2 linked regions of the Caenorhabditis elegans genome follow. The protein of the gene in region 2 purifies or fractionates together with the protein of the main gene of each other region. This does not show direct contact. Each region holds a gene or a part of one and is shown on either strand. Other genes may lie near its edges.

What was found. Proteins that work in one complex are often made in the same cells at the same time.
Region 1: the proteins of dnj-21 (region 2) and C34C12.8 fractionate together in Caenorhabditis elegans (co-fractionation; one large-scale study listed by BioGRID). This does not show direct contact.

The regions. Positions count from the first base shown.
Region 1 is NC_003281.10:3,457,989-3,462,601, forward strand, and holds C34C12.8 (GrpE protein homolog, mitochondrial), read left to right. Parts: upstream 1-2,417; 5' UTR 2,418-2,422; coding exon 2,423-2,472; intron 2,473-2,524; coding exon 2,525-2,628; intron 2,629-2,696; coding exon 2,697-2,938; intron 2,939-2,997; coding exon 2,998-3,213; intron 3,214-3,334; coding exon 3,335-3,436; 3' UTR 3,437-3,602; downstream 3,603-4,613. Other genes in the region: C34C12.2 (Fibronectin type-III domain-containing protein), read left to right, coding at 8-1,021, 1,484-1,765, 1,833-2,057; pph-6 (Serine/threonine-protein phosphatase 6 catalytic subunit), read left to right, coding at 3,716-3,792, 4,314-4,403, 4,460-4,572. UniProt on the Caenorhabditis elegans protein: Essential component of the PAM complex, a complex required for the translocation of transit peptide-containing proteins from the inner membrane into the mitochondrial matrix in an ATP-dependent manner.
Region 2 is NC_003279.8:5,674,153-5,678,655, reverse strand, and holds dnj-21 (Mitochondrial import inner membrane translocase subunit TIM14), read right to left. Parts: upstream 1,830-4,503; 5' UTR 1,821-1,829; coding exon 1,695-1,820; intron 1,646-1,694; coding exon 1,501-1,645; intron 1,156-1,500; coding exon 1,088-1,155; 3' UTR 1,010-1,087; downstream 1-1,009. Other genes in the region: aprt-1 (Adenine phosphoribosyltransferase), read right to left, coding at 1-11; T19B4.5 (uncharacterized protein), read right to left, coding at 2,418-2,591, 2,964-3,035, 3,158-3,673, 3,721-4,097, 4,184-4,247. UniProt on the Caenorhabditis elegans protein: Probable component of the PAM complex, a complex required for the translocation of transit peptide-containing proteins from the inner membrane into the mitochondrial matrix in an ATP-dependent manner.

The DNA.
Region 1 (4,613 bases), on a different chromosome or scaffold from region 2:
ATTTCAGAAAAACACGCCATCAACATCGAATTCAATCACTCTAAATCCATCTTCTCGTGGTGATCAAACCCAATTTATTGTACATCTACAACGAACAATTGAACGATTGGAAAAAGAAAAAGCTGCGTTAACGGAGAAATTGACAATGCGAGAGGATGAGATTAAAGTGTTTTCAGTGGAATTTGTGAATATTCAAAAAGAAAATGTTAAACTAATGAAGGAGAACAAAGCTAAAGAATCACAAATTTCAAACCAATCGATTCAAGTTCGAAATTCGTGGAAATTCGCAGATTTATTCAAGAAAGAGCTGCAGAAAAGTCGGAAAGACGTGTCGGAAGTGAAATGGAAAATTGATAAAATCGAAAAAAAAGTCGGCATCAAAAAGCCTACACCAAGGAAGAAGCCTGATGTAAAGCTGATAAATCCAGAGGATATTTCATTGATGTCTGACAGAACCCAGGATGGGGAAGATTCAAGTGACTTCGGAAGTCCTCTAGCGAAATATCTGAAGCCTGATCAGCCCAGCACAAGTTCTGCGTGCTATGGGAAGCCGTTCTATTTTGAAAGCACCAGCAGCAGCTCCAGAAAGCCCATCACAGCATCTCCAGGCCCTCCAGGCCGAACACAAATTTCGGATCAGCTGAACACTGGAGAAGTTAGATATGTGGTGAATTCAGGAAAACCATTCAATTTTAGCTCGGAAAGTAACTCCAGGAACTTGAAGCTTATTCCAGGATATATTAAGAGACCAGAATTTCGCTATATCAAGCCAGAAGGCTTCACCTCAGCCTCTTACAAAGCTCAGTCAGAAGGAATGAGCTCGTTTTTGAAGACTGGAAGCTCTGCAACTCCTGAAAATTCGAAGAAATCAGCCCATTTTGACATGCCGGATATTTCCTCAACGCCTTACAAATCTCACGTGGTGGTGGAATCGGACGAAATGAATAGTTCTTCGAGTACAATTGGAGGATTTGAGTCAGAAAAGAAAGATAATGGAGCTCTCGGAAGCCAGAAATCTCCTGTTAGTTATAACGAAAAAAATTGCTAAAAAATTTACTTAAAATTCCGCGAAATTTTGCCAATCTGTCAGTATCGATTTTTTCAATTTTTCAGGAAAAAAAAGTCAAATTTTAAGGTTTTTTCAATAAAAAACTTTTGAAAATGAAAAAATCCGCCAAGACGATTTGTTCGATGGGGCGCGCTTGCATTATTTTTTGTTTTTGTTTTTTTGTCCTAATTATTTCACTGAATTCCTTCATGTTTTGTGTATTTTTACTGAAAATTTGAAAAGCTAATGAACAATTTGCATTTATCTTGACTTTTCATTCAAATTTTCAGTGAAAATTCACAAAAAATGAAGAAGTTCAGAGAATTGATGAGAAAAAAAAAACAAAAATTAAAATAATGCAAGCGCGCTCTATTGAACAAAGTCTCTTGGCGGTAATTTGAATATGAAACTGGCAAAAATGGAAAATTATTGCAGATGCCCGACATTGCCACAGCACTTCACAATATATTTGATTCAAAAGAAGTTCAAAGTAGTTCTTCAACCACCGGAAGCTCTGCACCGCCCGAAAATTCGAAGAAATCAGATCATTTTGACATGCCGGATATCTCCTCAACTCTTTACAGATCTCGTGTTGAGCCAATCAGCAGCTCTTCCAGTGGATCTACCAGCACAAGTGCTCCGAGATATGTGCCAAAACCAATAGCCCAGCCAGCTCGATATGCAATTCCAAGTCCGGGTGCTTTGAATGCCTTAAGAGTGAGTGACAGCCGGAATCGCTCAGTTTACTGGAGCGCACTTGCAATAATACATACTTTTTTTTCAGCGTCCCCCAGAATGGAAAGGTCAGCGCCGACATGCGCCGAGTTACGTGAAATCCAGAGAAAGCGTCACGTTCAGAGGATGCTCCAGATTTCCAGTCACATCACCGCATTTCGCGAAAGCTCACCTGGAACCTGTGACTGATGGAAAAGATGATTCGAAAATTGTCAAATATCGATTTGTACCGAAGCGACCAGATTTTGATGGAGAACGCGAACATAAGAAGTGACAAATCTTGGTTTTTTTGTGTTTAAGGCTTTTAGAGCATTGATAATAAATTTTTTGTTGGATTTGCTGTGTTTTTTTGCGGAAATACACAGATTTTTGCAGAAAAAGTTAAGAAAAAACTGCTACAGTTTGCCCTTTTCCACTTTAAATTGCCGCTTAAAAACTCCTCGAAAAGAGTGTGCAAAGCATGGAGACGCAGACACGCACGAAAATCACGCCAGCACGTTACTGGCGCACTTGAGTCATGTGCTGGCGCATTTCTTGTCATGATGAAATTTATTAATTTTTTCTTCGTTTTTTACCAATTTCCGCCGATTTTTCGTTTTTTATTCCTAATTTCTTCAAATTTTGGCAATTTCAGACAATATGCTGCGCAAAGGAGTGTCTTTCGTCGGCCAGGCTGTTCAACAAACGCTGTAAGTTCCTTGAATTTTGAATAACGGTGAAAATCAAATTTTTTCATTGCAGGAAAACTCAGAAAAACTTGCGCATTCAAAGATTCAGCGCCACGGCATCACAATCATCGGAAGAAGTCAATTATGAGATTAGAAAAGACGGAAAGAGACTCAGAGGTAGCGATTTTTACTCTAAAACAAATTCTAAATTCTAAAAACTGATATAATATTTAAAAAAAAACCAGGAGCCGACTATGAAGAAATTGTTCTTACTTCGATTGCCGGCGAGGACAAGACACAGATTCCAAAGGGTGCTTTTGATGTTCTTCTCAAGGAATACGACGATTTGCAGGCCGAAAGCTTGGATTTTAAGGATAAATATCAAAGATCGCTTGCTGAAACTGAAAATGTTCGTCGGCGAGGTATCAAGCAAACCGACGATGCTAAGGTTTTTGCAATCCAATCATTCTGCAAAGATTTACTTGAGGTTCGATTTTTAAAATCAAAATCAACCGAAAAACAATTAAAATAATTCCAAATTTGCAGGTCTCCGATATTCTCGACATTGCCGTCAAGTCTGTGAAGCCAGAAGATCTGGAATCGGGAGGAAAAGCTCTGAAAGATCTTTTCGAAGGAGTTTCAATGACCCGTACTGTCATGGCAAAGACATTCGCAAAGCATGGCCTTGTGACCGTGGATCCAACCAATGAAAAGTTCGACCCCAATCTCCACGAAGCCGTTTTCCAGATTCCATCTGCTAATGTTAGTGCTAACCGCCCGAATTTTCCGAAATAAAAGAGCCAAATCTTGTATTTTTTGAACAATTTGGGCTTATTTAATCCTTTTTAAATGCCACAAAATGCTTAATTTCCTCCATTTTCAGGCCAAACAACCTGTCGGACATATCGAAGTGTGTACAAAGATCGGCTACAGCCTGAAAGAACGTCCAATTCGGCCTGCTCAAGTTGGAGTCGTCTCTAAATAATTTTCTTTTAATTTTCCTCTGGTTTTTTAATGTTTTTCCGGTTTTTTGTAGTTTTTTTTTGAATAGCTAGTAATTTTTATTGTTTTTCTGTTTTTTCCGTTATTTCATCACACTCCAATCACTTTTTCCCGCCGTTTTATAGGATTCGAATGAACAATTTTTGAGTTTCAATTCCCTTTTTTCCACTTTTTCGATAGGTTTTCAGCCATTTTTCATATATTTTTTAATTTTAAACAGGAAAAAAGCTTCTTTTTCATTTAAAACCGTAAAATTTTCAGAATGATCGACACAAACCTTCTTCGGGTGACAGTGTGCGATGAAGGAGAGCTCGAAAAGAGCACAACGCATTTTATTGGGTACCAAATTTTGGATATTTCAAGCGAAAAATGCGATTTTCCAAGCACAAATCGCTTTGTGTCGATTTACGCAGCTCGTGTACTCCTCGAGGAGAAGATTTTTATAGTTTTTGGAGAAAATGCTCAATTTTTGACCAATTTAACATTAAAATTGTCATTTTAATTATTTTAAATGAAAATCGACTACAAATCATCGTTTCCAGCAGTTTTCCATATTAAAAATGCTGAATTTCAGCATAAAAATTACCAAAAAAGCGAAAAATCGGCGATTTGAACGTTAAACTTTTAAAAAACAGCGAAAATGTAAAATCTAGCATTTTAGTCGAAAACTAGTATTTTTCTCCTCGGGGAGTACACGAGCTGCGTAAATCTACATTAGGCGATTTGAGCTTGGAAATTGATTTTTTTTACTCAAAATTGAAAAATTCTGCGAAAAATTTCGAATTTTTTTGCAAATTTCTAAAAAAAAACTTAAATTTCAGCTCCAAAATTATACAAAACTTAATTTTTTTCATTTCCAGATCTCGAAAAATAGAGCCGGAGCAATGGATTACGTGGGCGAGCGAATGCAAATACTTGCCCGAATCTGACGCTGTTGCTCTTTGTGCAACGTAAGAAAAAAGCAATTTTCAGCAATTTTCGGCTCAAAAACTGAACATTTTTTCAGATTAATCGATCGTCTATCACTGGAAGCCAATGTGGTGCCCGTTTCGTCGCCTGTCACAATTTGTGGAGATATTCATGGACAATTTTATGATTTACTCGAATTATTCAAAACTGGTACGGAATCGGATTCGAATTGGAAATGTCACAAAATTGGA
Region 2 (4,503 bases):
GGAAGTGTCATTTTCAGTCTGCAAAAAATGTTTATTATTAAATATTGAACTGAGATCTCAGCTGAGATGAAAATAGAGAAATAATAAATTTTTAATAAGGTTTCGATGATGTCGACTAGAGTTCAATTAAATTAGAGGGTATCAAAATAATGACAAAGTGACAAATTTTAAAGACAGATTATTTGGAGGTAAATTGAATTTTTATTTTAATGAATTTTCATTCAATTCTTATTCAGGAGCCATGTGATTTTTAATTGAAGAAGCGTAGGCTTTTGAAAATAATTTGTTTTTCTAATTCCAAATATCAACGTTCACATTATAAATTGTGGAAGGGAGGAATATATTTGCATATAAAAGATGAAAAACGAAAGGGAGAAAGCAGAGAAAATGGGAGAAGAGAAAAGAAGTGGGCGGAGTCTGGAGCATCTCCCTCACGGATATCAAATTAGGTTCCGTTGACGTTTAAGTGGTGACTACGCGTTTTTCCACTCAGAAAAATGGAGAAAAGTGCACCGCCTATATAAATGTTTTTTGTATGACTATCTGAGTATCTTTTAAATGGTAACTGGTCGGTTACAAACAAGAAGATACACATTTGATAGCTTATCATTTGAAATTATAACGAATGAAAAATCAATATTAATTGATAAGACATCTAAGATAAGATTGTCTGAACTGCTCAAAGTTCTTATTTTGAATTATGTTATTTAGGATAAAAGGAAAAGAATGCTGTTAGATTTTTCGCTGTTTTTTGAGGGAATAATTGAAAAAAATTGTGTTTTTTTTTGAAAATTGAAAAAAAAAATCGTAAAAGATTACAGGAACTACAGATTTATCGGAATTTTTTACTGAAATTTAAAAATGACCGAAAGTTATTGAATTTTTTTTCAAAAATAAAGAAAAGAACCGACTTTTCAATAAGTCCCGAGGGAAAAGTTTTAAAAAAACACGAAAAGAAGATTTATATCTGGTATTTCTATCCACATTTGAACTCTAAAAAAATCTGTTTAAATCTGATATTTCATTGATTCTACATCACACTAATGAAAACAAAACATAAAATAGAAGAAATAATAGTTTTTTTCGATCAGCTTTTCGATGATTCCATCAAATCTTTGGCCTCGTTGATTTTGGCAGCCAAATATGGAGATCCTCCTGAAAATGAGAAAAACATTTTAAAATCTGGCAATTCATGTTTAATGAAGCTCTAAGCTAATTTTGGAAGAGTAACTCATTATTTGCTGCTTCATTGAGCATGAGTGAGAAGAGCAAATGAGTGGAAAAAAGAGAAAAAGAATTAGGGTTTTTTTCTTAACTTTTTTTAAAGTATGAGGGGTTAAAACTAAAAAGTAAAATATTTTTAGTATTTTGCTCGCAATTTTTAAAAAGGAAAAATCCGAATAAAGTGGGGCGAGACCCGCCTTCAACTTTGCATTTCGGATAACGAAAATACGATACTTTAATTTAAAATTTCATTTCAGAGAAATTAATTTTAATTACCTCTATCTGGATGATTTACAATCATGACTTTTTTATGAGCTTCCTTAATTTTCGCCGGTTTTGCTGACGGCGCAACGCCCAAAATTTTCGCTGCTTCGGCTCGTGACATCTTTTGATCGAAACCTCCACGATAATAGTTGCTAAACTGAAATTTGGCATTTTTAAATTAAAACTTTCAAAAAATAAACACTAACAGCTCCACCAGCAACTGGAATCGCCTCCATTCCTTTTTTAATAAGCGCCTGATTTCGAAGGACATATCGAGCTCCAAATCCGACTGCAGCGAGACCCAAACCGGCAACAATTAAACCTCCCGTCATTTTATTTTTCTACAAAACAATATTTTGAATTTACTATCTTCGGTAATCCTTTTTAGGTACAGAACCTGTATTAAACAGGAAATATCAACAGATTCATCAGAATAAAAAATTTCAAACTATAACTTTATTTTGTATTGGATATTTCAAAGTGTAGCTTAAAATGCTCTTAAACTAGTTCTGGGAATAATGAGAGAGGTGGGGGGGGGGGGGGGGGGGGTGGGAAGAAAGAAGGGCCTGCCTTCTAGAGATGTTAATTTGATAATCAAGAATGAAAATGGGATCCTGTGGAGCTTAAGGTGAGATTAAAAAGAATTGTAAATTTTAAAAATTGGAAAGTTAAACAGAAAAGTGATGAAATCGATAAGACCCGAGAATTTTGTAAATTAATTTTCAAAATTTGGGATTGGAAACATAAATAATATTTGGAACGCAATGTGACAGTTTTTGACCGTAGTTTCGTAAAGTTTAGTCTGTTTTGATTAGTTTGCGATTCCGGTAGGCATAAAGGAATAATTTAACAACAGAAGAATATAGATGAATGAAAGAGAGGATGAAACGAATAAATTAATCAGGTTTCCAGATAAAAAGTTAAAAATTTCATCCAGATCTTCCACTTCCACCAGCGAGCAAGTTTTTATCTTTAACATCTTCATGTTCTTCATCCTGTTGTTGTTGATCCTCAACCATATGATCATCTGCTTCCATTCCTTCCAAATGCATTCGATGTTCATCAACAGTCTCCTCGACAATCCACTCTTGTGGAACTTCTTCCTAAAATAAATTATTATTATTATTACGAACTTTTTTATTATTGTTTAGAAACAAAATCGAACATTTTGATAAGTTTAAAAAAACCAAGATGTTTACTAAATTCGTAATTTCACTATAAATTAATAATTCAAACTTTCTTCCAAATTTGCTCGATGACAAAGCAGTTAAGTTTTTTGGAGAGTTTCGACTGCATTTCCCCAGAAGGTGTACTTTTAAGATAAATTAGTAATAAAAATGGAATTTCAGTTCTCAGTCATTGGTTTTCCGTTTACATAGCTTTGAGAAAATAATTTACAGGTTCAAGATTTTATTCTGCATTTCAAAACATTGAAGCTCTTTTTTTTGTATAATAGACTTTTTTTTAAAACGTACTCCTTCTTGATTATTGCCCACGTGTCCTTCAATAACAACATGCTCTTCGGGCTCTTCAACCATCATTTGACCCTGAAATCCAATAAATGTTTGCAAAAGGGATATCTTATTTTTATTGTTTTATCAATTTTGAAAGTTGTAAAAAAACATATTGTAATTCATATTTAATAAAATGTAATTTAACTGAAAATTACCATATGATCATTTCGATAAATATTGTTATGACCTCCAGCCTCATTGAACTTTCCATAATACATCACATGAATCGAATCCCTCAATTTTCGATTTTCAGTCTCCAACTGACGAATTCTAGCTGAAAATGCATTTTCTCTGGCTTCCGAAATAGTCTTTTCATGTCGTTGTCGTTCGCGATAATATGTTGTCAGAGTCGAGTTCGCCTCATTTGATCTTTCCAGATCCATAATCAACATTCCAAGATATTGATGATATTCATCCTGTGAGAAGTCAGCTTCTTGTAATTCTCTTAATCTCTCAGTATCGACTTTTGCATCTTCTATTGTTTGTTTGATATTATTCTCGATTTCGATAAGAGCATGTTCGGATGCTGTCGGATTTGCACGAGCCACACTTGAAGCCAGACGAACTACTTTGACAGGTTGCAGATTTTTCTGTGATTGTTGACCTTGCTGCAGATGAGATTGTTGTTGAGTTTGCTGCTGATGTGGGCGAGCTGCGGGCATGTTCATTTTCTGAAAAGGAATATTAATAAATTTAATATCTCGACCAAAAAAATTACCTTTACACCTGGAGGAAGCCCATCAGAATTATCTCGTTTTCTTCCAGCAAAGCTGACAATTCTCGCGCCGGCTGGAGAAATTCTTGTCTGAGGTCTCTGCTGAGCTGGCATATAGACATTTTTATTTTGCAATTTCTGAACCATATCCATATTATGTGGGTAACTTTGTGGACGAGGAGCCATCGGACGGCCAACTCCTCTACGAATTGATTGAGATTGTTGTTGTGGAACTTGATAAGCAGGAGCTGATTGACGGTTATCATAGTGATGATGATGCATTGGATTACCACGAAGTTGTGGATGATGATGGTGATCAACAACCATTTCAGTCGAACCGTCGTCTACAATTTCTTCATGGGCAACTTGTTGTTCATCCCCTGGAAAATTTGAATTTAATATACCTCATGCAAAAAGTCGAAAAGCTGTGTTTGCAAAGGTGGTAAATAAAACTCGTAAATATTACCTGGATCACCTCCATCGATAACTAATTCGGCCTGCTCTAAAACATTCATATTCGATGGATTCATAGTCTGGTGACTGCTTCCTGCTCCGGAAGAAGATGATGTCACTGGCGGTGAGTTCGGGCGAAAGTATCGCTGTCGCCGAGACGGAATCATACAGAGAGAAAACCTATAAAAATTCGAGACATGACTTAACACGCCAAGTCGGATAAATGAGGGCTGAGAGGAGAAAAATGAGTGTAAATAAAAATGAAAAACTCCTAATCGTTTTTAAAACTTTAAAACTAAAACATTAAAACAATTGTAAACAAACGCGTTAATC